Anolis sagrei: one gene and its partners. The protein of the gene in region 3 purifies or fractionates together with the protein of the main gene of each other region. This does not show direct contact. Links are inferred from orthologs where the notes say so. Each region holds a gene or a part of one and is shown on either strand. Other genes may lie near its edges. The genes, in order: TBL1XR1, DDX56, MECP2 and GTPBP4.

Region 1 (7,302 bases), on a different chromosome or scaffold from region 3:
ATTCGTCGTCCGAGATTGCTAATCCATGATCAAACATCATCAAGTCAAGTTAGCCAAAAACTTGCTGGAACATCCAAGTTTTAAGTTTTTTCCGAAATGCCATTAGCGAGGTGGCTGATCTTATTTCAGTAGGGAGGGCATTCCAAAGCCGGGGGGCCACCACAGAAAAGGCCCTATCTCTCGTACCCACGAGCCGCACCTGTGAAGCAGGTGGGATAGAGAGAAGGGCCTCTCCTGAAGATCTTAGGGTCCTGGTGGGCTGATAGGGCGAGATGCGTTCGGATAGGTATGTAGGGCCAGAACCGTTTAGGGCTTTAAAGGTCAAAGCCAGCACTTTGAATTGGGCTCGGTAGCTAATCGGCAGCCAGTGGAGCTGGTACAGCAGAGGAGTTGTATGCTCCCTGCGCCCTGCTCCTGTTAATACCATGGCTGCCGCCCGTTGGACTAGTTGGAGCTTCCGGGCCGTCTTCAAAGGCAACCCCACGTAGAGAGCGTTGCAGTAGTCAAGGCGGGATGTAACCAGTTAAGTATTTCAACCAGTTAAATGGAAAACTAATGCTTCCAGAGACTTTCAGGAGAGGAAATTTGTCCTTGCCACAAAAAGGGCCATCTGTGGGAGGGAACATAAAGCCACATAAGCAGCTGGGGGCAAATGAAGCCCTGGACCACGCTCTGGCCACCTTGCTGGACAGTTATCAGCAGAGCTTTCATCATCTGGTGGAGAACTTTGCCGTTGGAAAAGAGTCCCTTCTGTCACTGCTGTGACTTATGCTTCCCACACTCCACTGTTGTTTTGATGCTGTGCCTTCTTGACCATTCAGGACAATACGCAATAGGCCACACTTAGCTTTATCCTACTTCTCTTGTATTTCTTTCCTTTTTTTGTTAGTTTGCTTTCTAAATCTGTATTTTGCAGAGTGGTGTGTCTTTCCTGTTAGCCCTGGCTCCCTCCCCCATGTTTCTTTATCCTCTTTTGCCCTCCAACTTGCTCTGTTGTAGGTTTTTTCCCCCCTTTTAGTACATTTCATTTGAATTGTGCAGAACACCAAATAATGACTTGATCTGCTTAATGCAATTTCCTGGTTCTCTTGTGCTCTCTCTCTCTCTCGCCCGCTCAGAGGAAGAGAGATCCCTTCCCCCATGAAGTGTTTTTTCCATTCTGAATGCTATGCTGCTGCTGGCTTGAATGTTGCAATAAGAACTTCAAACAATGCCCTGTTCTGGTCATTGCACATCACTGGCTTCGTGTTTTTGAGACTGCACTGTTTTATTTATTTTTTGTACTTTTTTATATTTTGTTGTCTTTTTCACTCCCACCACACTGATATATTATTAAGCCGACATTAAACCAATGCAGACTTGTGGCTGGTACAGGAACTGAGCTTTTCTCTCTTATTACTTACTTAACAGTGCTGCTCCCATTTTTCTGTTTCATCTGCGTTACAATCTGGCCCACATATGTTCACCAACCAACCACTGCTTGAAAATATGCAAAAAAATTTACGAAAATGAAATTCTATTTTTTTATTTTGTATAGGTAAAGGTAGTCCCCTGAAATTAAGTCCAGTCATATCTGACTCTGGGGTGTGGTGCTCATCTCCATTTCTAAGCCGAAGAGCCAGCGTTGTCCGTAGATGCCTCCAAGGTCATGTGGCCGGCATGACTGCATGGAGCGCCGTTACCTTCCCACCGGAGCGGTACTCATTGATCTACTCACATTTGCATGTTTTCTAACTGCTAGGTTGGCAGAAGCTAGGGCTGACAGCGGAAGCTCATGCCGCTCCCCGGAATTGAACCTGCGACCTTTCGATCAACAAGCTCAGCAGCTCAGTGCTTTAACCCACTGCGCCACCGGGGGCTCCCTTATTTTGTATAGGGAACACCATTCACATCATTATATATAATGGTGGCATAGCAGTTAAATTGCTGAGCTGCTGGACTTGCTGACTGAAAGGTTGGCAGTTTGAATCCAGGGAGTGAGGTGAACTCCCGCTGTTAGTCCCAGCTTCTGTCAACCTAGCAGTTCGAAAACATGCAAATGTGAGTAGATCAATAGGTACTGTTTCAGCGGGAAGATAGCAGCGCTCCATGCAGTCATGCTGGCCACATGACCTTGGAGACGTCTACGGACAATGCTGGCTCTTCGACTTAGAAATTGAGATGAGCACCACCCCCCAGAGTCGGACACAACTAGACTTAATGTCAAGGGAAAACCTTTACCTTTTTATATATAATGGTACTTGCGCATCCATGGATTTTGGTATCCACACCAACCTCAGTGGACACCAAAGGCTCTTGGTACAAAAAAATAGTAGGGAAAGGTCACTATAGAAGGGCAAATGTGGGCTTTTCTACCAAATTATTATCCCGTGTTTGCCAATTCAGGAATGACTTTCTCATATTGCTTATAGGTGTTTCCTGTATTTGAAAAGCGGATATTTTTGCTTTCACAGACCCCAGATATTTTTCACGGAACATTGTGCCACATGTAACAACACCTCTCCCCCCCTCCCAAATTGTAGCAATTTATTATACAGTATTGAAGAAATGACCTTGAAGGAGTTGGGGGTGGTGACGGCCGACAGGGAGCTCTGGCGTGGGCTGGTCCATGAGGTCACGAAGAGTCAGAGACGACTGAACGAATGAACAACAACAGCAACAACATTGAAGAAATAGGATATCAGTTGTTTTGTAGCAGCAATTGCTGTACTCTTAACTTACCAACCGGGATCTTGCTATGAACCTCCATATCTATAGGAAAAACATTTCTGGACTGGGCGTGGATATGCGAAATTGCAGATAATAGCGAACTCCACTGAAATGAAGGCATTCCGAATTATATCATCATGTTGTTAGAGGACCTAAAAATGGTTATGTGGCTAAATAAAACTGTATGTACTATCCCTATGGATACAGGGGCCAAATTGTGCAGTATACATTTATAATCCTAGAAGAATGGGGAGGGGAATATTGTTGCACTTCCAGCCATCCAATGCCCTTTACTGCTTTACAGGTCTCAAAAGGAGATTCTCCACTCCGCATTTTCCTGTTTTCTGATAGTGCTGCTGATCTTCTCTCCTTTCCCTGAGTGCATCAAAACATAATGCTCTTGAATATTATTTATTTTATTTATTTAAAACATTTCTATTCCGCCCTCCTCACCCCAAAGGGGACTCAGGGCGGAGCACAGCATATACAGGGCAAACATTCAATGCCGAGACACAAATTCACATACAATACATAAACATTAAAAAACATTTGTCAAAATATTAAAATACATGATTTAAAAATACACAATTCCTAGTAATCCGGAATTGGCCTGGTCATCTTTCCTATTGCCGCTTTATTGCCCTGTCCCAAAAGCTTGGTCCCACAGCCAAGTTTTTACCATCCTTCTAAAGGACAGGAGGGAGGGGACCGACTTGATCTCACCAGGAAGGGAGTTCCATAGCTGAGGAGCAATCACCGAGAAGACCTGTCTCTCATCCCCACCAATCGTGCCTGTGACAATGGGGGGACGGAAAGCAGGGCCTCCCTGGAGGATCTTAATCTCTGTGATGGTTCATAAGGGGAGATGCGTTCAGACAGGTCTGGGTGCCTGTGACCACAATGAATATTGAATTTTCCACTCAAAACCACTGCTCTAGAACATGGCCATATAGCCTGAGAAAACCTACAACAGTGGTTCTCAACCTGGGGTCCCCAGATGTTTTTGGCCTACAACTCCCAGAAATCCCAGCTAGTTTACCAGCTGTTAGGATTTCTGGGAGTTGTAGGCCAAAAACATCTGGGGACCCCAGGTTGAGAACCACTGCCCTACAACAACCCAGTGATTCCAGCCATGAAAGCCTTCCACAACCCTGCCACCCATTTTTCTTGCCAGGGTTTCCCTTCCTCTTCTCCTTCCTGCCCTTGCATTTTGCAAACTGTGTGTGATATCATAACCTCTTTTTTTTCTTTGCATTCCTCTCCAGCCACACCTTATTTTATATTTTTTGCAGACCTGGAAATCTCCCCCACTTCCTCTCCAAAATATGCCTGCCTTTATCTTCTCTGCACCTTCTCCTGCATGAGTTTTTTGGGGGGTTTTGTTTTTGCATGCCATCTGGTTTGTTTTTTGCAAGCAAAGAAGCAACCAGGCCTGCTTGCTTGCCTCTCTCCTCCCTTCCCTCTCGTCTCTCCTTCTGTATGTGTGCATGTGTGTGTGTATTAGCCTCTCTTTTTTCCCTCTCTCTCTCTGCTCATTTCTGTCTGGCTGGCCACCTTCCTCTCTCTCTCTCTTTCTCTCTCCCCAATGCTGAGTGTCTGCGAGCCGTTGGCTGCTCTGAACCGTTTTGGCTCCTTCCCTTAGTAACAGCTTTAACATTCTGCCTCAATTCCTCTTCAATCTAAATCACACACACACTCACATACAGACACAGAGATTACTTTTTTTTATTACCCTCCTCCTCCTTTCCTCGGGACTTAATCTGTAATCTCTCCCCTCCTCCTTCTCTTCCTCCTCCCAGAAACCTTTCTGATTTTATTTTATTTTTTTCCCCAATCCCCACCCCCAACACTTACACACACACACACACACACACAGGCTTGGGATATAATTGAATACCTTGCATTCTTGGTGTGACTATTTGTGGTTCTTTCCTCTCCCTTCCCCCCTTCTTTCCCCACCATCATTATTCCCACTATTATTATTTTCTTGGGTTTGCAAAAAAAACCCCAACATATATATGTTGCTGCATTGGTAACAGACCCTATCTATGGTTTCCTTTTTTTCCCTCCCCCTTCCGTTGCAAAATAAAGGAGGAGGGGGTGAGAATAGACAGCGAGGCATCCATTGCAAGGTAAGAAAAAACATCCAAAAATAATAATAATCAAAAATTGACAAAAGAAGAAGAAGAGAGGGTTGTGCGTAAAAGTCTTTTGGTGGAAACATGGAAAAAAGAGACATTGGAGACATTGTTTTGCATGGTGGGGGGCTGGGGTTGCTTTAAAATAAAGGGGAATTCATGTTGGGATAGTGTATTTTTTCAAGAGGGGGGAGATCAGAAGATATTGGCCTGTGTTTGTGAATTGGAGGAGGGAGAGAATTGGGGGTTTGGATTTGCAGCCTGGATTTCTCAGCTCGGCCCTCTCTTTCCTTCCCTTGGAAGTGGGGGTGACTTTTCCCCTTTAATCCCCCCTCCTTTTGGTTTCTTGCCTGTGATGTTTTGGAGGTTTCCCCCCTCCTTCAAACCCCTCCCCCTTCAGCCTCTGACCCCTTTATTTTCCTAGGAAAATGGTGGAGATGGGGGAGGGAAAGTAAGTGCCTTTTGGAGAGGCGAAAAAGGGATTTGCGCAAATAAATGCAACCCAGCAGCCATGATGAAGAAGCCAGCTGGTTGGAGAGCCTATTTTTAGACCGATTTGGTGGTGAGGGTGTCTCTCTCTGTGTGTGTATCTATCCCTGTGTGTGTGTGTAAAGGAAAGGCGACGACTTCTTTCCAGGCACAACACACAGAGGTGTGTGTGTGTGTGTATTTTGAATGTCCTGCGCCTTGGGAAGGAAAACGCACACACAGAGGCGCACGGCGGGGCACCTCCATGTCTCCATAAATTTCGCTCGGAAGTGGGGTGTTTTTCTCCACCTGGGAATGTATTTTTGAAAAGGTCAGTAAGGTGTTTTTTTAAGGTTGGGGTGAGGGGGAGGGAAAGTTTGATTTCGCTTGGGGGTTGTGTCTTTAAAAGCTGTGTTTGCAAAGAGCCTTGGGGGAAGGGAGGAAATGGCTTGGTGGCTCAACTCAGGCTGGGGTGGAGGAGGGGAAGGAGAAGCACTGAGCTGCTTGGGTGTCTCTCTCTATTTTTGCACTGTATTCGTTTAAAAAGGCCTGCATTTGAAATATATTTGTGCTGAAAGGTAGCCTGAGCGTTTGGTTTCGGGTCTGGTTTGACTTGATTTCCCAAAGAGACAACATTGAAGCCCCTGGAGACTTCTGAAGTTGGAGGTGTCTTTGGAGAGAAATGGGGAAAGCACCAGAATTGTTATGGAAGAGTTTCTTGTGAACTTCTGCTGGGTTTAAAAATGTGGACAGCCTACACACCTGCATATGTGTGTGTTTATATGTATATGTGGTTATGTATATCTATCTAGGTATAGATTATGCCCCTTAAATTTAGAAATCTTGCTGTTTAGAGAGTCCACGTGTAAAAAGTCTGAAATGTCAGACAACACCCTGCAATAGTGATATTTTCCCTCCTTTTAGAAGTGTTTGGTTTTGGCCTGATTTCCCAAAAAGACAACATTGAAGCCCCTGGAGACTTCTGAAGTTGGAGGTGTCTTTGGAGAGAAATGGGGAAAGCACCAGAATTGTTGTGGAAGAGTTTCTTCTGAACTTCTGCTGGGTTTAAAAATGTGGACAGCCTACACACCTGCATATGTGTGTGTTTATATGTATATGTGTGTGTATATAGATAGATATAGATTATGCCCCTTAAATTATGAAATCTTGCTGTTTAGAGAGTCCACGTGTAAAAAGTCTGAAATGTCAGACAACACCCTGCAATAGTGATATTTTCCCTCCTTTAAGAAGTGTTTGGTTTTGGCCTGATTTCCCAAAAAGACAACATTGAAGCCCCTGGAGACTTTTGAAGTTGGAGGTGTCTTTGGAGAGAAATGGGGAAAGCACCAGAATGGTTATGGAAGAGTTTCTTGTGAACTTCTGCTGGATTTAAAAACGTGGATAACCTACACACCTGCATATGTGTGTGTTTATATGTATATATGTGTATGTATATCTCTATATAAAGATAGAAATAGATTATGCCCCTTAAATTAAGAAATCTTGCTGTTTAGAGAGTCCATGTCCACGTGTAAAAAGTCTGAAGTGTCAGACAACACCCTGCAATAGTGATATTTTTTTCTCCTTTTAGAAGTATTTTGGTTTTGGCCTGATTTCCCAAAAAGACAACATTGCAGCCCCTGGAGACTTCTGAAGTTGGAAGTGTCTTTGAAAAGAAATGGGGAAAGCACCAGAATAGTTATGGAAGAGTTTCTTGTGAACTTCTGCTGGATTTAAAAATGTGGATAACCTACACACCTGCATATGTGTGTGTTTATATGTATATGTGTCTGTATGTATATATTTATAGATATAGATTATGACCCTTAAATTTAGAAATCTTGCTGTTTAGAGAGTCCATGTCCACGTGTAAAATGTCTGAAATGTCAGACAACACCCTGCAATAGTGATATTTTTTCCTCCTTTAGAAGTGTTTGGTTTTGGCCTGATTTCCCAAAAAGGCAACATTGCAGCCCCTGGAGACTTC
Region 2 (7,941 bases), on a different chromosome or scaffold from region 3:
AGGTGAAGTGTCAGGAGAGAATGCTTCTGGAACATGGCCATATAGCCCGAAAAACTTACAGCAACCCAGTGATTCCGGACATGAAAGCCTTCGACAACACAATAATAAACAACTTTATTTATATCATGCCTCCATCTCCCAAAAAAGGGACTTGAGGCAGGTTACAAGGTACTGCAAGTGCAGTATAAACATCAACTGTTCATGAGTATAAAACAATATCACATAAAAGTTATAAATAACCACTATCAACACATAAAATAAAACACACAATTTAAAAACTCACGCCATCTATGGTTATAACTAACTGCCATCAATACTCAACTAAAGTGCCAAAGTGTCAATAACATTATAGGCATCACAGTGACTAGGGATGGAAGTCAAGGTGGTGGGTGTATGGGTGAGTGGGAGAGGGGTCAACTCTGGATGTGGGCAAGAGAATGGTCTTATATGTGGTATTGTGTGTGATATGTGTGGCATGTGTACTGTCTGCATTTAATATGTTTGTAAATATTCTTTTAAGCATAAATTCTCCCTCAAAGGAAAGAACTCCACATGACAGGCACACAGTCTTCACTAAGAAAGCCATGGCTCTGAATCTGCAAGACCTAAGCAGGGCAGTTTGTGATTGGGGTGCATCTACACCAGGCATGGGCCAACTTCGGCCTTTCCTCCAGGTGTTTTGGATTTCAACTCCCACAATTCCTAACAGCCAATTAAATGTTACTCAGGCTCACCAAATGCAACATCTGCACTTCCCTTAAACAGCCACGGGTCTGTGGAATGATGTCCAGAGTGGGGGAAAGAACCCTTGTCTGTTTGAAGCAAGTGTGAATGGTTCAGTTAGCAATCTTGAATAGCATGAGTGGCCATGAAGTTTGCAAAGTCAATCAGTGAGGGTATCTGCATAGAGGTAGCATGGTTTCCTCCTTTCTGTTGAACTTCTCCACGTCTGCTTGTGGATTTCAATGGCTTCTCTGTGTAGTCTGATATGGTGGTTGTCAGAGTGGTCCAGCATTTATGTGTTCTCAAGTAGTATTCTGTGTCTACGCTGGCTCATCAAGTGCTCTGCTATAGCTGAAGATGCCTCTAAACTAGTGGTTCTCAACCTGGGGTCCCCAAGTGTTTTGGCCTACAACTCCCAGAAATCCCAGCCAGTTTACCAGCTGTTAGGATTTCTGGGAGTTGAAGACAATTTCACCTTATGCCTGGAGGCTTTGTCAAACTGGCTACGTGCTAGCAGACTGAAGGTGAATCCGGCGAAGACTGAGATCCTGTGGCATGGCCGCCCGATAGGTCCGACCCATCCATTACCTACCTTTGATGGCGCTGCTCTATCTCCATCGCCTACCGTTAAGAGCCTAGGTGTCGTTTTGGATTCGCAGCTGACGATAGAGGCTCAGGTCGCTGCTGCCAACAAACAGGCCTTTTTCCATCTACGACAAGTGAGGCAACTGGCACCTTACCTGTCGGATGAGGCTCTGGCAACTGTCATCCATGCCACGGTCACAACTAGGCTGGACTATTGTAACACCTTGTATGTTGGCCTTCTTATTTCTACGACCCGAAAGCTCCGTATTGTCCAGAATGCTGCAGCCAGGTTACTCACAAAAACCCCCATGAAATGCCATATAACACCAGTGCTGCGGCATCTACACTGGCTCCCAATTGAGTATCGTGGTTTGTATAAGATGCTGGTCCTGACCTTTAAAACTTTATATGGCCAGGGCCCATTGTATCTTAGAGACTGTCTCTCCTTCTACCATCATCGGAGGTCGCCACGACCATCCCAACGCGATCTGCTCTATATACCGGGTCCTAGGGAAGTGCACTTGGAAAGCACCAGACGCAGGGCCTTCTCTATTTCTGCCCCTGCCTTGTGGAATTCCTTGCCTCCCTATCTGAGAACCATGCGTGACTTAGGGCATTTTATCCTAGCACTTAAGACCTGGCTTTTTACTAAAGCATTTGACCCATGTTAACTTTAATATTTGTATGTGTTTTATCCTGTGTAATTTCTGCAGTGTAAATCGCCTGGAGTATCTCGGATGGAGGGCGGTTAATAAGCAATTAAAGATGATGATGATGATGAAGACCAAAACATCTGGGGACCCACAGGTTGAGAACCACTGCTAGACAAAAACAGCCAGGCCAGCTCTACGCAGATACTCTCACTGCTTAACTTTGCAGCTGCAAGTCTACTCAATGCTAATCAAGATCACCAACTGCAACATCCACACTTGCTTCAAACAGCAAAGGGTCTGTGGAATGATGTCCAGGATGGAAGAAAGAACCCTTGTCTGTTTGAAGCAAGTGTGAATGTTGCAATTAGCAAGCTTTAATAGCTCTGAGTAGCCATGAAGTTTGCAAAGTCAATCAGTGAGGGTATCTGCATAGAGGTAGCCTGGCTGTTGTTGCCTGGAGGCATCCTCTGCTTCCTTTCAGACTACACAGAGAAGCCACTGAAATCCACAAAAGCACATGGACGATTTCAACAGAAAAAAAGAAAACCATGCAAATAAACAAAATCTGGCTTAGAGGATTAAAAAAACATCAGAATCAAAACAGTAAATAAGGGACACCACTCAGAAACAGGTGAACCCCAGATAGCAAACAATCAAGGGCCAGTTAATCTTCCCAAATAGAGGGTGCCTCCAGGCAACACAGGCCAGGCCACCTCTATGCAGATACTCTCACTGATTGACTTTGCAGTTTTATGGCTACTCGCTCACTGCACAATTCCTAACACCTGGAGGGAAGGCCCAAGTTTGCCCATGCCTGATCTACACTGTAAAAATAATGCAGTTTGACACCACTTTAACTGCCATGCTCCTGTGTTATGGAATATGGGGAGGAAAGAGGAAGGAAGAAAGGAGGCAAGCAAGCGCGAATGAACAAGGTCCAGACCTGAAGCAAACGGGGATCCAGGCCCAGGTGCTCGAAACTCGGCTCCTCGTCAGCCATGCTGCTTTCTACTCGCCAGAGGGCCAACTTCCGCCGGAAAACGGCGCCGCGCCTGCGCACATCAAGCACGGAGCATCGAGAGCAAGCTTTGCGACCAGAACAGCCCGATGCTGCCCCCTAGAGGCCCGGGAGGGAAGGGGGGCTCCCACCCAGCCTCTGAACATCAAACATCAAAGCCTTCCCCACAGATGGCCTTTCAGCCTCTGTATAGTATAATAATAATAATAATAATAATAATAATAATAATAATAATAATAATAATAATAATAATAATAATGGAAGAGCCTCATCAAAGCCTTCCCAACAGATGGCCTTCCAGCCTCTATTGTAATATATTAATCATCATCATTATTATCATGGAAGAGCCTCATCAAAGCCTTCCCAACAGATGGCCTTCCAGCCTGTATTGTAATATATTCATCATCATCATCATTATCATCATCATGGAAGAGCCTCATCAAAGCCTTCCCAACAGATGGCCTTCCAGCCTCTATTGTAATATATTAATCATCATTATTATCATGGAAGAGCCTCATCAAAGCCTTCCCAACAGATGGCCTTCCAGCCTGTATTGTAATATATTCATCATCATCATCATTATCATCATCATGGAAGAGCCTCATCAAAGCCTTCCCAACAGATGGCCTTCCAGCCTCTATTGTAATATATTAATCATCATCATTATCATCATGGAAGAGCCTCATCAAAGCCTTCCCAACAGATGGCCTTCTAGCCTCTATTGTAATATATTAATCATCATCATCATCATAATGGAAGAGCCTCATCAAAGCCTTCCCAACAGATGGCCTTCCAGCCTCTATTGTAATATATTAATAATCATCATCATCATTATGGAAGAGCCTCATCAAAGCCTTCCCAACAGATGGCCTTCCAGCCTCTATTGTAATATATTAATCATCATCATCATCATCATTATGGAAGAGCCTCAAAGCCTTCCCAACAGATGGTCTTCCAGCCTCTATTGTAATATCTTAATAATCATCACCATCATAATGGAAGAGCCTCATCAAAGCCTTCCCAACAGATGGTCTTCCAGCCTCTATTTCAAAGCAGAAGCTGGCACCCCATCTACACTGTCATAACTTAACATTTGGGAATGCCATTCCAACGCATGAAATAGAATTATATGAGCTTACACTGCAACAGAATGCAGTTAAACCATTCCGAAACTGCTTTCTCTGGCAGTGTAGATGGGGCCTGGCTCGTCATCTACAAAATGGAAGAGGCAGAAGGTGGTCCTCCTCTTTCTCCTCGAAATGGAAGAGGCAGAAGGTGGTTCAAGTAGGCCTGTCCAGCACTGAAGGAACGGAGGTCCGCAGGCTTGGGAAATTGCATTTCATAGCACCTTGGTTTTTTAAAAAATCCTGTTAAATTTGTTCAGATGGATTTGACTTTTGGAAACAAACTCCTGAACAGTCCTGAAAGCATTTGGCAGAAGAGCTAGTGCAGAATCCCTGTGTGCCTGAGGGACGGATCGATGAAATTGTATGATTGGAGTCTGGCTATGGCCTATTAAGGTCTGGCGAGATTGAAAATGCCACCCTAAAATTAAAACCCGAATATGATTAACTTTGGAACGAAAGTGCTTATGAGAAAACTGATGAGAATGGAGCCGAGAACTTTTTGTGTAAACAACACGTTTACATGGCCAGAGACAATGACTCTGCAAGTTAAGGAAGTTAAACAACATATCTTCTGGAACTGAAGAGCTTTGAGCAAGTCTAAGCTCTTCAATTCCTAATCAAGCAAGAACAGCAGCAAAAAAAGTTCTACATAAGGAGGCTCTTTTCCTCTTTGAAAGTGTGCCAGAACTGCAAGGAATGCAGATTTGAGTACCCACCTCCTTCTTCCAATGAAGCCTGATGGACTGAATGAAGAAGGATGGCGAGTATGAACATTGAACGAATGGATTATGAGTGAATTTTGGAGTAAATGTGATGTTCCCCTTTTGTCTGTGTAATCAATATAGGTAAAGAAGGTATGAAGGAAGGAAAAAAGGAGGGAAGTAAGAAAGAGAAAGAAGGGAGGAAAGAGGGAGAAAAGATAGAAAGTATGAAGGGAAGATAGATAAAAGGAGAGAAGAAGGAAGAGAAAGAAGGGAAGGGAAAAGAAGGGAGAGTAGAGAGAGAAAGGGAAGGGAGAGAAGCTATGGGTGGAGGTGAGGAAAAGAAAAAAAAAGAAAGATGATGAGGGAAGGGAGAGATGAGAAAAAGAAACGGATAAAGGGATGAAACAGGAAAGAAAGAAAGAAGGGATGAAGGAATAGAAGGAAAAGAGAAAAATGAGGGAAAGAAGGGAAAAAGCAGGAAGGAAGGAAGAGAAAGAAAGGATGAAAGGAAGAAGAGAACAAAATAAAGGAGGGAAGAAAGAGGAAGAAAGTGAAAGAAGGGATGAAAGGACGGGGAGAAGAGAGAATAGAGGAGGAAAGGGAAGAAACAGGAAGAAAGGAAGAGAAAGAATGGATGACAGGAAGGGAGAATAAAGGAGGGAAGAAACAGGAAGAGAAAGAAGGGATGAACGGACTGAGAGAAGAGAGAATAAAGCAGGGAAGGGAAGAAAAAGACAGGAAGAGAAAAGGGATGAAAGGAGGGAGGAAAGAGAGAGAAAAGGAGGTAAAGAAGAAACAAGAAAAGAAAGGCGGGATGAAAGGAGGGAGGGAAGAGAGAAAAAAGGAGGGAAAAAACAACAAGAGAAATTTATTTACAGCATTTATATACCGCTTTTCTCACCCCAAGGGGGTGATGAAAGAAGGGAGAAGAGAGAAAAGGGAGGGAAGGAAGGAAAGAAACACGAAGGAAAGAAGGAAGGGATGAAAGGTGGGAGAGAATCATAGAATTGGAAGGGACCTCGTGGGCCATCCAGTCCAACCCCCTGCCAAGAAGCAGGAAAATTGTATTCAAAGCACCCCAACACATCCAGCCTGTTCAAAAGCCTCCAAAGAAGGAGCCTCCACCACACTCTGGAGCAGAGAATTCCACTGCTGAACAGCTCTCGCAGTCAGGAAGTTCTTCCTAATGTTCAAATAGAATATCCTTTCTTGTAGTTTGAAGCCATTATTCTGCGTCCCAGTCTCCAGGGCAGTCTCTCTCCTCCCTATGACTTCCTTTCACATACTTACATATGGCTCTCATATCTCCTCTCAGCCTTCTCTTCTTCAGGCTAAACATGCCCAGCTCTTTAAGCTGTTCCTCATAGGGCTTGTTCTCCAGACCTTTGATAATTTTAGTTGCCCTCCTCTGGACACATTCCAGCTTGTCAACATTTCCCTTCAATTGTAGTGCCCAGAATTGGACACAGTATTCCAGGTGTGGTCTGACCAAGTCAGAATAGAGGGGGAGCATTACTTCCCTGGATTTAGGCACTATACTCCTATTGATGCAGACCAAAATCCCATTGGCTTTTTTTGCTGCCGCATCAGAAGAGAGAAACAAGGAGGGAAGAAATGGGAAGAAACAGGGAAGGAGGAAGGAAGAGAAAGAAGGGAGACTGTGTGTCTCCTTCTTTCTCTGAAAGTGCCTAATGCACTCTGTCCTACTGAAAACAGATTAAAGCACAATTTAAGGTGCTTTATTGATGACATGAGCAGCCCCTCGGTACCCTTTGCTGGGGCCTCTGGCCATGAACAGATTCCCCTCAGCCCCCCTCTCCGCCACCACCACCACCACCGATGGCTCCCTTTGGGCTCCCAGTGAGAAGAGGGGCCAGACTCAGGAGCCCAATGCAGCCCAAGGCCCTTTCGACACACAAGAAACAGTGCTTGCAGCAAAATGTTTATTTCACTCCAAAAACCGTAGCAAGGGACACTAGGAAGAACATACCCTACCGAACTGGGAAGCAAAGACTCCTTGGGACCAAAGCGGTGGGAGAGGGGGGGCGGGAGGGAACCTTGACACCATTTCAGGGTGCCAAAGGTCCAGCTCTGGCCCAGTCCAAGCAGAAACAGGAGGGGCCCTTCTCCCTTCTTCCTGACCCTCTGGGCCCCAAGGGTGACTGGCTTCCCTGCCAAGGAACCAGAGACAGCATCAGGAGGAGAACAAAATACTAAGACTCTGCATTGATCTCCTATTGACTCTTAAATGGTGAGGATGGCCTAGTCACTGGTGCTAAGAGTTGTTCCTCTTAAAGAGATATGCTACCCCTGCAAAGACAAGGATGTCCACAAATGAGCTCTGGCCTATGCTACCATCCCAAAAAATTGCACAAATGTCCTTCGCCCCATTTCCCCTGCGGCCCCAAGCGCTTATTGAAGCACAGTCACACAAAGCCAGTAGGAGAGGGGCACTTTGGGTCATCTCAGCCATCGGGCGACAGCACAAGGGGAGAAAGGAGGCCTCTTTACGCACGAGAAGCAACACCTTCTCCTTCCGTTGTCCTGCATTCCCTGAATTCCAGCTTCCTGAGCACAGGTCCAGGCTTAAAAAGGGCAGCCGGGGGCGAATGGTGGGCTTTGCAAAGGGGTATTTGTGGCTCAGCCAAGGGCAGTCTGTATTGGGCCTCCATTTCAGTCCAGTGCTTTAGGAAATCCGGAAGCGTGATGACACGTGCCGTAGTGGCCAAAGACGGGGGGCTTTTGTGTGCCACCGGAGGATCTAAACCAATTTCTTGGCCTCGAAGAAACTCTTGAGGTGCCTCATCTGCCAGATGCCCGTCAGGATGAGGATTACCGTCTGGGCGATGGACCACCACAGCACCCGCTGGTTGGTGCTCTCGCTGGTCATGCGGAAACGCTCCTCCCGGTACTGCAAAGCAGATGCACCCTGTCAGTGACAGAATCACAGCCCCGTGCCTCTCCACAGGACACCAATAAGACCCCAGCCAAGCCCAATGTGTGCCAAAGGCTAGGGACTGTGCTGCATAAGTAGATGGGGAGGGCAGGACTTGCAATGGAGGATTCTCCCAACTCACCCTTTGGTAGTTCTGCTCCTTCTGGATCTGCTCCACTTGGTCCAGGAGCTGCCT
Region 3 (7,814 bases):
TAAACTGAGATGGTTGAACTTTGGAAATATCATGAAAAGACAATATTGTTTGGGAAGGTAGAAGGCTGTGAGAGAAAAAGAAAGACAGCAAGAAAAGGGGATATAATCAATCAAGTAAAGAAGATTGGCCCTCAATCTGCATGAATTGAGTTGATGACTGGGTGACCTGGAACTCTCTCATTTATAGGGTGCCACAAGTCAAAGTAGACGTGAGAGAAATTAAAAACAACAAAGTGTCCAATTAATTTCATCATGGCTTAAATGCTCATATAATTAGAATAATTGCACATATTGCACTGCACCTTTTGATTGATCAATAAAAGATCACCACAAGATTTTGGAGATTTATATAAATCTGGAAACACTGGAATCTTGTACATATTTATTTTGCTGTGACCTGATTATTTCAGTGTGGCTTTTTTCAGAAGATATATTCAGTATTGTATTTAGAATGAAATCTATTTACATTTACTTAGGAGCAATACTTATAGAGCACAACAGAACTCACTTCTGCTAAACAATCATAGAACTGTACTGTCAGTATGCTTGGATGATGGTTTTAGTATAAAGACTATATTTTTCTGGCAAATACTTACACAAATAAAAAAAATCACAGAAATATTTCCCACAAAATAATCTTAATCATTGAAATTTTAGTATAAGGAAAATACAAACATATAAAACAGTTGAAACACACAAATATATTCTAAAACCTGTCACAATACTTTTCGGCTGGAATGACTGCATACTACAAATAAAAAATATATTTAAACTTTTATATATTTTTACTGTAGTCCTGATTCTTCTCATTTCCCGCATTATGTTAAAAGCTATAGAACAAAAGGCATTTAGAAGGAAATTATCTTTTTAAAATATTTATGAAAGGGCTGAGTTTTACAAAACAGAGTAATGAGGAAAATGTGTTAAAATGCTGTAAGCAACATGTAATTTGTGAAACAGATTGGTCTACAAGTTCATTTTTAAAAGGAACACTATTGTGATTCAAATTAGTGTGTCAAACATATGTAGGGACAGTGCAGCTTTGTTGCAGGGTTGAGATTGTATTGTTTGTGTGCATGTGCGAAGTGATTGTATAGGACATCATATGGATCCACTGAATGACTCAGCCATATTTCTATATAAATAGTGGGTGGGAGAATAGGATTCCAATCTGAGTAAGACTGTGATCATTAAGAGAATAACAGAGGGACTCTGACATGTTTATCCAGTTCAAATGGACGTGAAAAGACATGACTGTAGTTCAGTTGATGAAACTAGGACAGTTTTAGGTTGGCTGAGAAAAAAAATTGTAGGGCTTCCATGTGTTTAGCAGGTATTCTGAATTTAGTAAATGATGGTTTATCTGTCATGCATGTACACTGACATTAGGTTATATATGTAGAATAATTTTTTTGTCACAGATATACTAAAAACCCACGTGTCTTATAAGAAATGAATTTTGGAAAATGTAGTTGTGAAACAAATAGTGGCCAGAGAAAACTTCTGGTGTGATGTGGAAGGATTGCAGAGATAATAGATACGATGGACACAATTCTTGTGGACTTTGGTTTTAAAAATGTGAAATTATGCACATCATCAACATTCTTATTTTTAAACCTAGAAAATTAAATTCTGCTTGACAGCTTTTGTATTGGGCCTCCAGCATCAAGGTTTCTATACATTTGTGGACTTCAACATTCAGTAGGGGGCAGATGCGTGTCTAATGCATGCACATGGCAAATGACGGGACAGTAAAGTTTCCTGTTGTTTCATTTCCACACCTTTCCCACTCTAGTGATCTGTTCGTTTTCACTTGTATCTGCGTATTTATTTGGCATGTTATCAAAGCGACATTCAAGAGAAGTAGTCATTCCCAACACTGCTCACCATTATGAGGGAGAAAGGCATATCTTGCCCAACTGACAGCAATTGGTTGCCTTGCGGCCTTCAACATCAGTTCTGTTTCTCCTAGTGGTATGAGCCACATCAAGCACGTCTTCCACTAGGTTTCCTCCATCTCACTTATTTTGCATAAATGAATGTTATGTGGTAGCTTTTTATAGCACAAACATGGCTACACTGCTTTTAGAACAGGATACTCATATGAAGTGTATGTCTGGATTTACAGCTGACATTTCATATTCCTGGATTTCACATTTGCGGATTTGATTACTATGTTGTAAGAATGTCTAGATTCTCCAGCACAATTATACAATCAACGTCCACTGGAAGTTAATCATAAAGTCATGGTGACTTAGAAATTCCTAAAGTTATGTTCTCTCAGGTTAAAAAAACACCCTTTAAAATTCAATTTTTTCCACATTCATTGCTATACACTGAATCTGTCATGTTTCTGAATCTGTAAGTTAAAGTGAATTATTCTAATTTTCTGGGGAGCAAGCACCATTTTATCCAAAGGAAATTATATTGGAATAGACACTATGTAGGATTGCACTGTTAAAAGTACCAAAAGCCAAATGTTCATAATGATATTACTTGATGGTCATGTTTATGTAACTGTCTCTGTGTTTAATACAATATGGTAAACAAATGATACATTTTTATTTATAAAATTGTGATTTGAAGAAAATTTATTTGCCCAATCACTGACAACAGCCTAAAAGAATGGATTTTAGTTTTAGTTTGCGGTTTTAATCTACGGAATAAATTGTTTTTTGCGTCACGTATTACGTGTGTTGCGGGTTTATAATTTTATCAGATATGTTCTGATCTGTTGGTTATGTTTATTTTTATGTATGTTTTATTTACATGGTGTTGGCTGCTTTAAGTTCCGATTCGGAAGAAAAGTAGAAATAAATTCCGATTCGGAAGAAAAGTAGAAATAAATAAATAAGACTGGCATGACACTCTGCAATACCTGCTGAATTGAACACTATTTGTGTCTTAATATTTGCACTAAAATGTGTAATGCAAGGCCAGAAAGTTATTTTTGTTCTTTACAATATATTCTGTCTACAGGGGCGGCTCAACCCATTACGCAAAGTAAGCATTTGCAGTATAGTTGATTTTGCCCAGGAGTGCTCTTGAGGCATTCTTGGGGGAAAATAGACCTTGACATATGCCAGTTGTAGTTACTGGGATGTACAGTTCACCTACAATCAAAGAGCATTCTGAACTTCACCAATGATGGAATTGAACCAAATATGGCACACAGAACTCCCACGACGAACAGAAAATATATATCAATGATTGGTTGGGGGGAGGCGCCAAAATACTGTTTGCTTACTGTTGAAAATTACCTAGGGCCGCCTCTGTCTGTCTACTTGATCTTTATGAAACAAATTGCATTATAAGAATAATAATGGGAGAATTCAAGGTATTATTGGCTATATGCGAGTCAGTAGCGAGCCACTTCTTGAGTATTCCTTGCTAAAGAAAATCTTATGAAATTGACAGGGTTTCTATAAGTCAAGAGGCTGTTTAAGGACACACAGAGGAATAAACTAGTTTTAACAGTTCTGTCAGGAATATGAAAATAAATCACATCACGTCCTTTCTCCAGATATTAAAGGGTGTCTATTGTATCCTTTAGTGCAGGGGTCCTCAAACTTTTTAAGCAGAGGGCCAGGTCACAGTCCTTCAAACTGTTGGAGGGCCAGATTATAATTTGAAAAAAGCATGAATTAATTGAATTAATTCCTATGCACGCTGCATGTATTTTATTTGTAGTACAAAAAGCACTTAAAAACAATACAATAATTAAAATGAAGCATGAATTAATTCCTATGCACGCTGCACATATTTTATTTGTAGTGCAAAAAACACTTAAAAACAATACAAGAATTAAAATGAAGAACAATTTTAACAAATATAAACTTATTAGTATTTCAATGGGAAGTGTGGGCCTGCTTTTGGCTGCTGAGAAAGGATTGCTGTTGTGTGCTTTCAAGACTTAGGTCAACCCTGAACGAGGGCTGGGTAAATGACCTTGTAGGGCTGTATTCGGCCCTCGGGCCTTAGTTTGAGGACCCCTGCTTTAGTGTTTAGCTTTGAAAATAGGACAGGGATTTTTGTTTGTTATTCTCACCTGAGAGGGAGTGTTTTTTTCCCCATCTAGAGCTGCAGCACATCTGCTTTCCAATAAGAGGTATGTCAGCAAAGGCACACTATTTCCTATCCCTGCAGTGAAGCACATCGCCCCAGCTGGCCTCTTATGGTGGTGAATTTGCCACTAGGAATTCTGCCACTGCTGTGGTAAAGATGTATGCGGTGCTTTACAGGTGTGGGTGAGAACGCTGGACCATCTGAGGAGGAAACAAAATGCCTGTGATGTGGGTAAAACAGTCCTTGGGGGAATCTGTGCTGTCACGGTACAAGAATTGCTGTCATTCACGGAAATATATTATTTGTCCAGTTCGGCTGTTCAAAGGCCCTGAGGTGAATTGCGACCGTCTGTTGGTCTTCTCAGGAAGCTGTGGGAACATGACCTTGATGCTACTTGATGGGCCACATGAAAGGGACAGCCCTGACATATGCTGAGAAGGTTGCTCGCATGACGACAGGGAGCGGCCTGCTCAGGGGCGGCATTTCCAAACCCTTGAGGCCTGGTGGCGAGAGAGGGCCAATGGCGAAGAGCGCGGGCTCCTCTCCGCGGCCTACTTCGTACCGTTGTAACTGACAGCGCTTCCCGCCAATTCTAACGGCCGCAAGGAAGCAGGGCCGCCTCGCCCGTGTGGAAAGGCGCCGGCCAATCGCTCTCGGGGGGCGCCCTGACTGATGGGGCGCGCCGCCCAATGGCAGCCGAGGAGGGCGGGGCCTGGCTCTCCGGGTTTCCTCTCCGGCTCGGTTTCCCCCCCTCCTCTCCCCCCCCTCCCGCGGGTTCTTCGCTGCGAAGAAAATGGCGGCGGCGGCGCCGAGCGGAGATGAGGAGAGATTGTGAGTGACTCGAGGGGAAGGGGTGGGGGAGAGCCGGGCCGGACCATCGAGCCCCTGGCGCGGGGGGTCCGGGCGGGACCATCTGTGGCGTCCGGAGAGGGGGGAGAGGTGCGAGGCAGGGCTGCGGCCGCTGGGCTGCCTCTTTTTTTTCCCGCTCGCGGGCGCCCTCCCCTCCCCTCCCCTCCCTTCGCCTAGCCCTCCCTCCCGCCTGCCTTCCCTCCTGCGCGCGCCCAGGGCCCCTGAGTGCGTCACAGCGGTCCCCTCTGCCCAGCAATGGGAGGGGCCGGCCTTTCCGCAAGGAGGGAGGGGAGGGGGAGAGGGGCCCGGGTCAGGGGTCACGCCGAACGAATTCCTGGCGCGCGCGCCTGAATGGCCCCTTCAGGCAGCCTCCTCCTCCTCCTCCTCGCAGGGGGCCCTCCTCACTGCCTGAAGCTGCTACTTGCCCGACAGGCCCTTCAGGGACCTGCTCACACCAACTTCGCCAACGCAGGCTCCAGGTTGTTGGGGCCATTGGGCAGCATGTCTTTGCGGGAAGGCTGTATTTCAGGGCTCTCCTCTTGTGAAGGGCCCGACCAGGCCTACCCTGTGTACCACCAAGGGCCCTTCCACACAGCCACATAATCCAAAACATCGAGGCTGAACATCCCACCATATCTGCTTTGAATGGGTTTATCTGAGGGCCCTTCCACACAACCTTCCACACAGCCACGTAATCCAGAATATCAAGGCAGAAAATCCCACCAAACCTTTGAATGGGGTTATCTAAAGGCCTTTCCACACAGCCACATAACCCAGAATATCAAGGCAGAACATCCCACCATATCTGCTTTGAGTGGGGTTATCTGAGGGCCCTTCCACACAGCCACATAACCCAGAATATCAAGGCAGAACATCCCACCATTTCTGCTTTGAATGGGGTTATCTGAGGGCCCTTCCAAATAGCTACATAACCCAGAATATCAAGCAGAAAATCCCACCATTTCTGCTTTGATTGGGGTTATCTGAGGGCCCTTCCACACAGCTACATAACCAGAATATTAAGGCAGAAAATCCCACCAAACCTTCTTTGAATGGGGTTATCTAAAGGCCCTTCCACACAACCATATGGCCCAGGGCGCTTCCACACACCCCTATATCCCAGAATGTAAAGGCAGAAAATCCCACCAAACCTTCTTTGAATGGGGCTATCTAAAGGCCTTTCAACAGAACCATATAACCCAGAATATCAAGGCAGAAAATCCCACCATATTTGCATTGAATTGGGTTATCTCAAGGCCCTTCCACACAGCCATATAACCCAGAATATCAAAGCAGAAAATCCCATCATATCTGAATTGAATGGGGTTATCTGAGGGCCCTTCCACACAGCCATATGACCCAGGGCCCTTCCACACACCCCTATATCCCAGAATATCAAGGCAGAAAATCCCACCATATCCGCATTGAATGGGGTTATCTGAGGTCCCTTCCACACAGCCATATAACCCCGAAAATATCAAGCCAGAAAATCCCACCATGTCTGCATTGAATGGGGTTATCTGAGGTCCCTTCCACACAGCCATATAACCCCGAAAATATCAAGCCAGAAAATCCCACCATATCTGCATTGAATGGGGTTATCTGAGTCCACACTCAGATAATGTGGGATTTTCTGTCTTTATATTCTGGGATATAGGGCTGTGTGGAAGGGCCCTCTGTCATCTTTAAAAGCCTTATTGAAGAAAAGGGTTTCTAAGTCCACACTGCCATATAATTCAGTTCAATGTGGATTTTATACAGCTGTGTTGGAGGGACCTTAGAATTGCGGGAACTTTTAATATACTGTTTTTTCTCGATTCAAAAGCTCACTTTCCCCTCAAATAAACATATCTACAAATGGGGTATCTCTTAGTATTGATATGTATAGATATATAGATACAGTTTTTCTGTTGCTGTGCTAGAATTAATGTGCACGTTATAATCAATGGTGGTTTATAATGGATAAATACGGTATCTAAATGAAAAAAATTCTGTTGGTGATCCTGAATTTCTTACAACTGATTGCATCTTACAGTCAAGGAAATACATTATATTTATATACAGAGCTGCTCTGTAACATTGTCTGAAGAGTGTATGATATTTGTGAACTGCTGCTGACTTGTGGTCACCAGTGAATTTGTGATGAGGGGACAACTCTTGTGAAGAATAGCCACCTGGGCATGGGTGATGTATGGGGTCAGCATCCTCTGGAGGTGGAGATCAAGTGATCAGAGAAAACGGTTGCTCAGTTGCTTTCAGTAGCCTCAGTGGTCCAGTCCTTATCTCTTTCCACTGAGATATAGGCCTTCATAGGTTGGTGACTAATTGGAGTGAAGAGTACTGGTTCCTTGTGACCATCGTTTATTCAAAAATATAAGTCCATTGTGTGTCAGTCCTCTGAGGCAGGGTACTATGTAAGTGTCTAGGTCCATAAACAAATCACAAGTACATTTCCTTTCCCAATCTTGGTGGGGAGAATTGGGGTGTGATGATTGGAAATAATGGCCTTTACTGCTCTTGGTTAATCATTTATTCTCATTTTGGGGACTCTACTTGCTCAATGGCTTTATCTCTTTGTGCAGCTTAGGGTGGACCAAGTGTGGTGTCTGAGACCAATGTGAATTGATAAGTGGAGTCTGTAATGGTTTGAATCAGAACCACTATAACTTCTGCTTGCTTGTACTTTCCTCTCCCTCTGGTAGTCATGCTAAGAAGGATTGGATTTGCTGAGTCAAATGCCCTCGTTTTTATCTTGCAGAAAGGGAAAGAATATAGGGAATAGTTCATTAGTTCATTGGATACGGGCAATAGTTCATTTTACTTGTAGTGCTACAGAGCCAGCCCTCACTGCCAGAGTGCCTAAACTAAGAGGGCAAACAAGTGAAAGGGCATAGATGATC
Region 4 (7,142 bases), on a different chromosome or scaffold from region 3:
CATGTGGCTGTGGAGCCCTATTCTTGCTCTGCATCTTCTTCCGCAGTAAGGGCATTGGTTTCCAGGTGGAAGGAGGTCTCGGTCGGGGTTGGCTTGAGGCGGCTTCCTCTTGGCACGCTTCTCCCTTTCGCCCTCCATTTGTGCCTCCTCAAATTCTGCAGCATTGCTGGTCACAGCTGACCTCCAGCTGGAGCACTCAAGGGCCAGGGCTTCCCAGTTCTCAGTGTCTATGCCAGAGTTTTTAAGGTTGGCTTTGAGCCCATCTTTAAATCTCTTTTCCTGTCCACCAACTTTCAGTTTTCCGTTCTTGAGTTCGGAGTAGAGCAACTGCTTTGGGAGATTATTATTATTATTATTAACTTTATTTGTACCCCGCGAGCATCTCCCGAAGGACTCGATGCGGCTTACACAGGCCGGAGCCACAACACACAATACAATAGAAAACATAACAAGTAATAACAAAGCAAATCAACATCAAAAGCGAAACAAATCAAAAATTAGCGAAACAGCAATAACAATACATCAAGACATATTAAAAACTGGTTCGGCCGGCGAGAGGGGTACATGATTAAAGTGCTGAAAATGGCAGGAGGGGCGTAGGAATTAAAGTACGGTGTGCAGCAGCGTTAATTGTACTAAAGTGCTACTAGGACTTGGGATGGGGATTCTTAATCCGGGAAGGCACAACGGAACAGAGATGGTGGTCGGGCATCCGGACAACGTGGCTGGTCCAGCGGAGTTGATGGCAGAGGACAATCACTTCAATGCTGGTGGTCTTTGCTTCTTCCAGCACACTGACATTTGTCCGCTTGTCTTCCCATGAGATTTGCAGGATTTTCTGGAGGCAGCGCTGATGGAATCGTTCCAGGAGTTGCATGTGATGACTGTAGACAGTCCACGTTTTGCAGGCATATAGCAGGGTTGGGAGGACAATAGCTTTGTAGACAAGCACCTTGGTATCCCTATGGATGTCTCGGTTCTCAAACACTCTCTGCTTCATTTGGGAAAATGCTGCACTCGCACTTATGGATCTTTGACTGTCATATTCAAACTGTTCCTGGATTATGGACTTCTTGTCTGGACATTCCCAGAGGATTAGATTGTTGTTCATTCGTTCAGTCGTCTCCGACTCTTCGTGACCTCATGGACCAGCGCACGCCAGAGCTCCCTGTCGGCCGTCACCACCCCCAGTTCCTTCAAGGTCAGTCCAGTCACTTCAAGGGTGCCATCCATCCATCTTGCCCTTGGTCGGCCCCTCTTCCTTTTGCCTTCCACTTTCCCCAGCATAATTGTCTTCTCCTGGCTTTCCTGTCTCCTCATGATGTGGCCAAAGTACTTCAACTTTGTCTCTAGTATCCTTCCCTCCAGTGAGCAGCCGGGCTTTATTTCCTGGAGGATGGACTGGTTGGATCTTCTCGCAGTCCAAGGCACTCTCAGCACTTTCCTCCAGCACCACAGCTCAAAAGCATCAATCTTCCTTCGCTCAGCCTTCCCTAAGGTCCAGCTCTCACATCCGTAGGTGACTACAGGGAATACCATGGCTTTGACTAGGTGGATCTTTGTTGCCAGTGTGATGTCTCTACTCTTTACTATTTTATCGAGACTGGACATTGCGTCTTCTGATTTCCTGGCCACAGTCTGCATCTGCAGTAATCTTTGAGCCTAGAAATACAAAGTCTGTCATGGCCTCCACATTTTCTCCCTCTATTTTCCAGTTGTCAATCATTCTTGTTGCCGTAATCTTCGTTTTTTTAATGTTTAGCTGCAGCCCAGCTTTTGCGCTTTCTTCTTTCACCTTGGTTAGAGAAGAAAGCGCAAAAGCTGGGCTGCAGCTAAACATTAGATTAGGTCACCATATTTCATCAGCTCTCAACACTGGGGCATCACAGGGCTGTGTGTTGAGTCCTCTGTTTTACACTTTGTACACACGATTGTACAAAGGTGTTTTGGACTTCAACTCCCACAATTCCCAGCATCTGGTAGCCTGTTAGGAATTGTGGGAGTTGAAGTCCAAAACACCTGGAGGGCCCAAGTTGGCCCAGGCCTGGATAGTTGCACCCATGGTGGTCAATCAATTAAAATTGATTAAGTACCCAAACATCAATTCATTGGGTTCTTGTGGGTTTTTTCGGGCTATAGAGCCATGTTCTAGAGGCATTTCTCCTGACGTTTCGCCTGCATCTATGGCAAGCATCCTCACTACCTCTATAGCCCGAAAAAACCCACAAGAACCTAGTGATTCCAGCCATGAAAGCCTTCGACAATCAATTCATTGCATTAGTAATTCCTCCCTACATCCAATAGCTTGGGGACCCGGCGCTGCCCGGGTTATTAGAGAAAGGAATTGTATATCAAGGTTGGTGTTTATCAGTTATTTATATGGCTCGCAGTGGTCTCAGGAAGTTAGTGAAGGTACTGTGAGTCCCATCATCTGTGGTCCATCGTCCTCCAAACTGCACCAGGATGGAGAGAGGGTCATGGGGGCTCTCTGTGCTAAGTTTGGTCTTGATCAGTCATTGGATGAGGGTCACAGCAGTCTCAGAAAGTGTGTTAAGGTACTGCAAGTCCCATCATCCATAGTCTCCCTCAAACATCACCAGAATGTTGAGTTGGCCATGGGGGCTCTCTGTGCCAAGTTTGGTCTTTATTGGTATTTGGATGAATGTCACTGTGGTTTCAGGAAGTGAGTGAAGGTACTGCAAGTCCCATCATCCATTGTTCTAAAGAACGAGCGCCACCTGTTGGATTTCTGCCTGAGAGTTAAAAGGCGCCTCGAGGAGGAAAGCCTGCTCGCAGAGGGACACGTGGTTCCTCCCCACGTCGCGTACAAGCCTGACCAGTAGCCACGGGGACGGCCCAGCCGCACTATTAGAAACCGGGCCCAAGCGTGGAGGGGCCTCTCTCCTTACCTTGGCGGACGGGACCACCATAATCTTCTTGAAGTTGTAGAGCGCCATGGCTGCGGCCTCCTCGCCTGACGGCCGGCCCAGCAGGAAAAGGCAGAGCGGCGCCTGGAGGAGGGACTTCCGGGTTCCCACCTCTCGCGAGATGAAACCGGCACGCGAGAAAAGGAATGCTCCCAGGCTTCTGTCTGTTAAAATAGACTTACGATTTCTATAGAGTCACATCCGCTTTCAACACAGCTACCTTCCGAGTTAAATTCACTTTAATAAGCACATTCTTCTCTGTTTGCTTCATCCAAATGGAAGAAAGATTCCCTTTCACGCCACCTGCTGCCCAGGAGGATGAAGTGCACATTCTTTTTCCAGCTCTCATCATATTTGAAAGTTACTTAAAAGGGGAATGTAATGCCTGAATCAGAAAGTGTTCCAAATGCATACTATTTGAGAACACAAAAATGTTGGACCACTCTCACAACCACCATGTCAGACTACACAGAGAAGCTACTGAAATCCACAAGCATGTAGACAATTTCAACAGAAACCATGAAAATGAAAATAATCGGAGTTGTTGTAGGTTTTTTTGGGCTGTATGGCCATGGTCTAGAGGCATTCTCTCCTGACGTTTCGCCTGCATCTATGGCAAGCATCCTCAGAGGTTGTGAGGTCCTCACTACCTCTGAGGATGCTTGCCATAGATGCAGGGGAAACGTCAGGAGAGAATGCCTCTAGACCATGGCCATACAGCCCAAAAAAACCCTACAACAACCCAGTGATTCCGGCCATGAAAGCCTTCGACAATACATTGAAAATAATCTGGCTACCAGTATGATAGAAAACTCTAAAATCAGAACAGTAAATAAAGAACAACACTCAGAAAACAGGGGAATTCCAGACATGAATCAGAACCAGCTAACAGCTCCCAACAAAGGAAGCAGCCAGGCTTTGAAGCTGAAAGGCCATTCAATACCAATCAAGATGGCCAATTGCAACATTCTCACTTTCCACAAGCAAACAAAGAGTTCTTTCTCCCACCCTGGACATTCCACAGATATATAAACCTCACTTGCCTAGTTTCCAACAGACCTCACAACCTCTGAGGATGCCCACCATAGATGTGTGCAAAATGTCAGGAGAGGATGCTCCTGGGACATGGCCATACAACCCATAAAACTCACAACAACCTAGTGATTCCAATCATGAAAGCCTTCAACACGTTCCAAATGTTGTCTGAATGAAAGTTTTATCTTTGTTTGAGGAAGAAGTCCAAACGTGGTTCCTTTTGTGGCATAATTTGGAAACAGGAAACATATGGTGATTTTGTTGCATGGCCATGTTTTCCGTGCAACAAAATACAAAATACCAGATGAAGTTGCCAATTCTTCAGTTTGGATGGGATAAACTCCAGGCCTGAGGATAGGGCATCTGCACTGCAGATTTAAGGCAGTTTGGCCCCATGGTTAAATGTTATGGAATTATGGGAGCTATATTTTACGAAGTTTTTAGTATTGAAGCGGAAAATGTGACGTTTTAGTTACCCTGCGGATACAGAGGAAAATAATCTAGCAAATTTATGTCAGTTTCTGTATTTTGGGTTATATAGTAGATTTCCAAAATGTGATTTAATGCTGTAAGCATGTGTATGTAATAATGTTCAGCAGGGATAGTGTTAAGTGTGTTTGTTCCTGCTTCCCAGGCATGTAGCCGGGGGGGGGGGGGGGGGGGGGGCTTGAGGGGCTTCGCCCCCCCCCCCCCCCCCCGAAATTCTCATGGTGGTTCGCGAAAAGGCCTTACTGGTGCATTATTTAAACTGTTATGTTTATTCATATCATGATCTGATCACCATACTCAATATATCCCATATGCATGGGGGCATTGGGGTAATGATACAAAAGGTTTGCTAGGCTAGACCCTCTTTCACTCAGACTCAACCCCCCCCCCCGAAACTCAGCCCCCCCAACCCCCCTGAAAAAAAATCAGCCCCCCCCCCCCAAACGAAATCCTGGCTACGGGTCTGCTGCTTCCTGTATGTGACGTATGATGCCTTCTATGGAATGTAAGTAGGCGTGTTCTACTGAGTGTGAAGAAGAATCCGAGTAGCTATTACTGTGTCTTGGTGTATTGTTTATTGCTTGTTGTTTAATATTGCTTTAACTGTTTTTAATTTGTGTTAGGTTGTATATTGTTATGTTGTGTTTTTAGGCCTTGGCCTTTGTAAGCCGCATCGAGTCCTTCGGGAGATGCTAGCGGGGTACAAATAAAGTTAATAATAATAATAATAATAATAATAATAATGAGTTGTCTTTTGCCACAGGCAGACGCTACCGTAAAACTCTCATATGTATATAGTCTGTAAATAAAGCTAATTGGTTTATTGCTTTATGGCTGTGTGTCGGAGCAGTTTTATCGCCCTATCAACCAGACAATCAACAATTTAATCTGCGGAAGGGAGGCTCACATGGGAACAAAAGCTCAAAGTGTGTAAGTTTACCGAATATGGAAAAGGTGGCCATATTTATACACATAGAACTCCATGCGTTAACATTGCTATTTGCTTGAAATTCCCTCCCAGCCATGCAAAAAAGCCATCCTCCTGATTGATCAGGGAGTGGAACCTTGCTGGCTTGCTCTCCAATTGGTTGGGGAGGTGGTGACATGGCCCTGGGGCCTCCAGTGGTGAGGCCAGACAGGCCATCACAGTGTTAATCCAAAGATAATGTAAGTCCAAAAAATTAAATGACCAGATTATGCGATATTGAGTCCAGGACTCAGGAACAATAGTGACTTGCCAGACTCAAGCACTTTCTCAGGAGAGGGACAATGACAAAGCCCAGTGTGTCAATAGGAGACTTGAGTGTGTCTCCTCTTGGGTTATTGTCTCACAGATGGTGGCGATCTCCCAGAGGGAAGTTTCAGGTGGCATGCTGGAGTTCTTCTGTTGTTTGCCAGCAAGGGTCTTTGTCACCTTGATGGTTATCCAAAACTGGCCCTGGGAGGGGTCCTAGAGGGAGACTGTTCAAAGGTTCCTGGAGTTCACTTGAGTTTTCCCTTCAAAGTTCACTATTTCATAAAACATATAGAAATAAAGAGAATCATAGAATCAAAGAGTTGGAAAAGACCTCATGGGCCATCCAGTCCAACCCCCTGGCAAGAAGCAGGAATATTGCATTCAAATCACCCCTGACAGATGGCCATTCAGCCTCTGTTTAAAAGCTTCCAAAGAAGAGGTGAAAGGAGAATGTGTCTTATTTCATAAAGGGTCAGGGGAGAGGGGGTGGCTGATAGCCTTATTTTTGTTATATTTTATAGGATGCTCACGTGTGCAGATCCGCAGTGAGAAAAATAATAAAAAGAAAATAGTTATAGATAGTGGGGCAAAATGGAGAGGAAAGCAATGAAGTCTGTTGAGGGAGGAAGACAGATACAGTGTATCTCTGGCAGCAAGGCCAGTGATACTCTATAGCACCAGTTCTGTCTGGCTTCCCCAGGCTGCGCTTGTGCACTGCGGTAGAAAGATCCCAGTAAACCGACTGAGCTGGCCAGGCCAGCAGCATGGATGGTGGGGTTTTGGGAAAATTGGGGTTATGTGTTGCTGGTTAGGGGTGCTTGGGTGCAACTGGAGAGACTCAGTGGGGCAAGGGCCATGGCAACTCATTGAGGCCCTTCGCCCCCAGAAAACTACAACTCCCACGGATACTGAGTCTCCATTTTATTTGGAGGGGTGGGTATTACTGTTTGACAACAGTATCCCCTTCGAAACAATTGGTGACTCACCACACTACAGCTCCCAGTTTTGAGTGATTTCAGCAACAGCTAAAACTGTGGCTCCAGTTCAAGGAGATGTATATGATTCAGAATAATTCGTGTTTTTGTGGGTAAGATTTTTTGAGAACACCAGGATTTCATCACATTGAGCCATGACAATTGAAGTGGTGACAGTTGAAGTGGTAGGAGCCCCCCCCCCCCCCCCCGTGGCGCAATGGGTTAAACCCTTGTGCCAACAGGACTGCTGACCGAAAGGTCAGTGGTTAGGATCAAGGGAGTGAGGTGAGTTCCCATCTGTCAGCTCCAGATTCTCAGGTGGGGACACGAGAGAAGCCTCCCACAGAATGGTAAAACATCCGAGTCTCCTGGGCAACATCTTTGCAGACGGCCAATTATCTCACACCAGAAGCAACTTGCAGTTTCACAAGTTGCTTCTGACACGAAAAAAAAAGTTGAAATGGTGTCAAACTGCATTGA

What was found.
Region 1: the proteins of MECP2 (region 3) and TBL1XR1 purify together in Homo sapiens (co-immunoprecipitation; 3 studies listed by BioGRID and IntAct, with this or other methods). This does not show direct contact. The link is inferred for Anolis sagrei from reciprocal best matches to the Homo sapiens genes MECP2 and TBL1XR1.
Region 2: the proteins of MECP2 (region 3) and DDX56 purify together in Homo sapiens (affinity purification with mass spectrometry; 3 studies listed by BioGRID and IntAct, with this or other methods). This does not show direct contact. The link is inferred for Anolis sagrei from reciprocal best matches to the Homo sapiens genes MECP2 and DDX56.
Region 4: the proteins of MECP2 (region 3) and GTPBP4 purify together in Homo sapiens (affinity purification with mass spectrometry; 3 studies listed by BioGRID and IntAct, counting the BioPlex papers as one, with this or other methods). This does not show direct contact. The link is inferred for Anolis sagrei from reciprocal best matches to the Homo sapiens genes MECP2 and GTPBP4.

What each region holds. Positions count from the first base shown.
Region 1 is NC_090023.1:256,414,272-256,421,573, reverse strand, and holds the start of TBL1XR1 (F-box-like/WD repeat-containing protein TBL1XR1), read left to right. Parts: upstream 1-4,288; 5' UTR 4,289-4,841; intron 4,842-5,197; exon of another isoform or gene 5,198-5,646; intron 5,647-7,302. UniProt on the Homo sapiens protein: F-box-like protein involved in the recruitment of the ubiquitin/19S proteasome complex to nuclear receptor-regulated transcription units. Plays an essential role in transcription activation mediated by nuclear receptors.
Region 2 is NC_090027.1:20,961,319-20,969,259, reverse strand, and holds the start of DDX56 (probable ATP-dependent RNA helicase DDX56), read right to left. Parts: upstream 3,014-7,941; 5' UTR 2,962-3,013; coding exon 2,905-2,961; intron 1-2,904. Other genes in the region: TMED4 (transmembrane emp24 domain-containing protein 4), read right to left, coding at 7,572-7,721, 7,888-7,941. UniProt on the Homo sapiens protein: Nucleolar RNA helicase that plays a role in various biological processes including innate immunity, ribosome biogenesis or nucleolus organization. Plays an essential role in maintaining nucleolar integrity in planarian stem cells.
Region 3 is NC_090022.1:175,856,284-175,864,097, forward strand, and holds the start of MECP2 (methyl-CpG-binding protein 2), read left to right. Parts: upstream 1-4,804; 5' UTR 4,805-4,858; coding exon 4,859-4,896; intron 4,897-7,814. UniProt on the Homo sapiens protein: Chromosomal protein that binds to methylated DNA. It can bind specifically to a single methyl-CpG pair. It is not influenced by sequences flanking the methyl-CpGs.
Region 4 is NC_090026.1:117,192,228-117,199,369, forward strand, and holds the start of GTPBP4 (GTP-binding protein 4), read right to left. Parts: upstream 3,020-7,142; 5' UTR 2,958-3,019; coding exon 2,910-2,957; intron 1-2,909. UniProt on the Homo sapiens protein: Involved in the biogenesis of the 60S ribosomal subunit. Acts as a TP53 repressor, preventing TP53 stabilization and cell cycle arrest.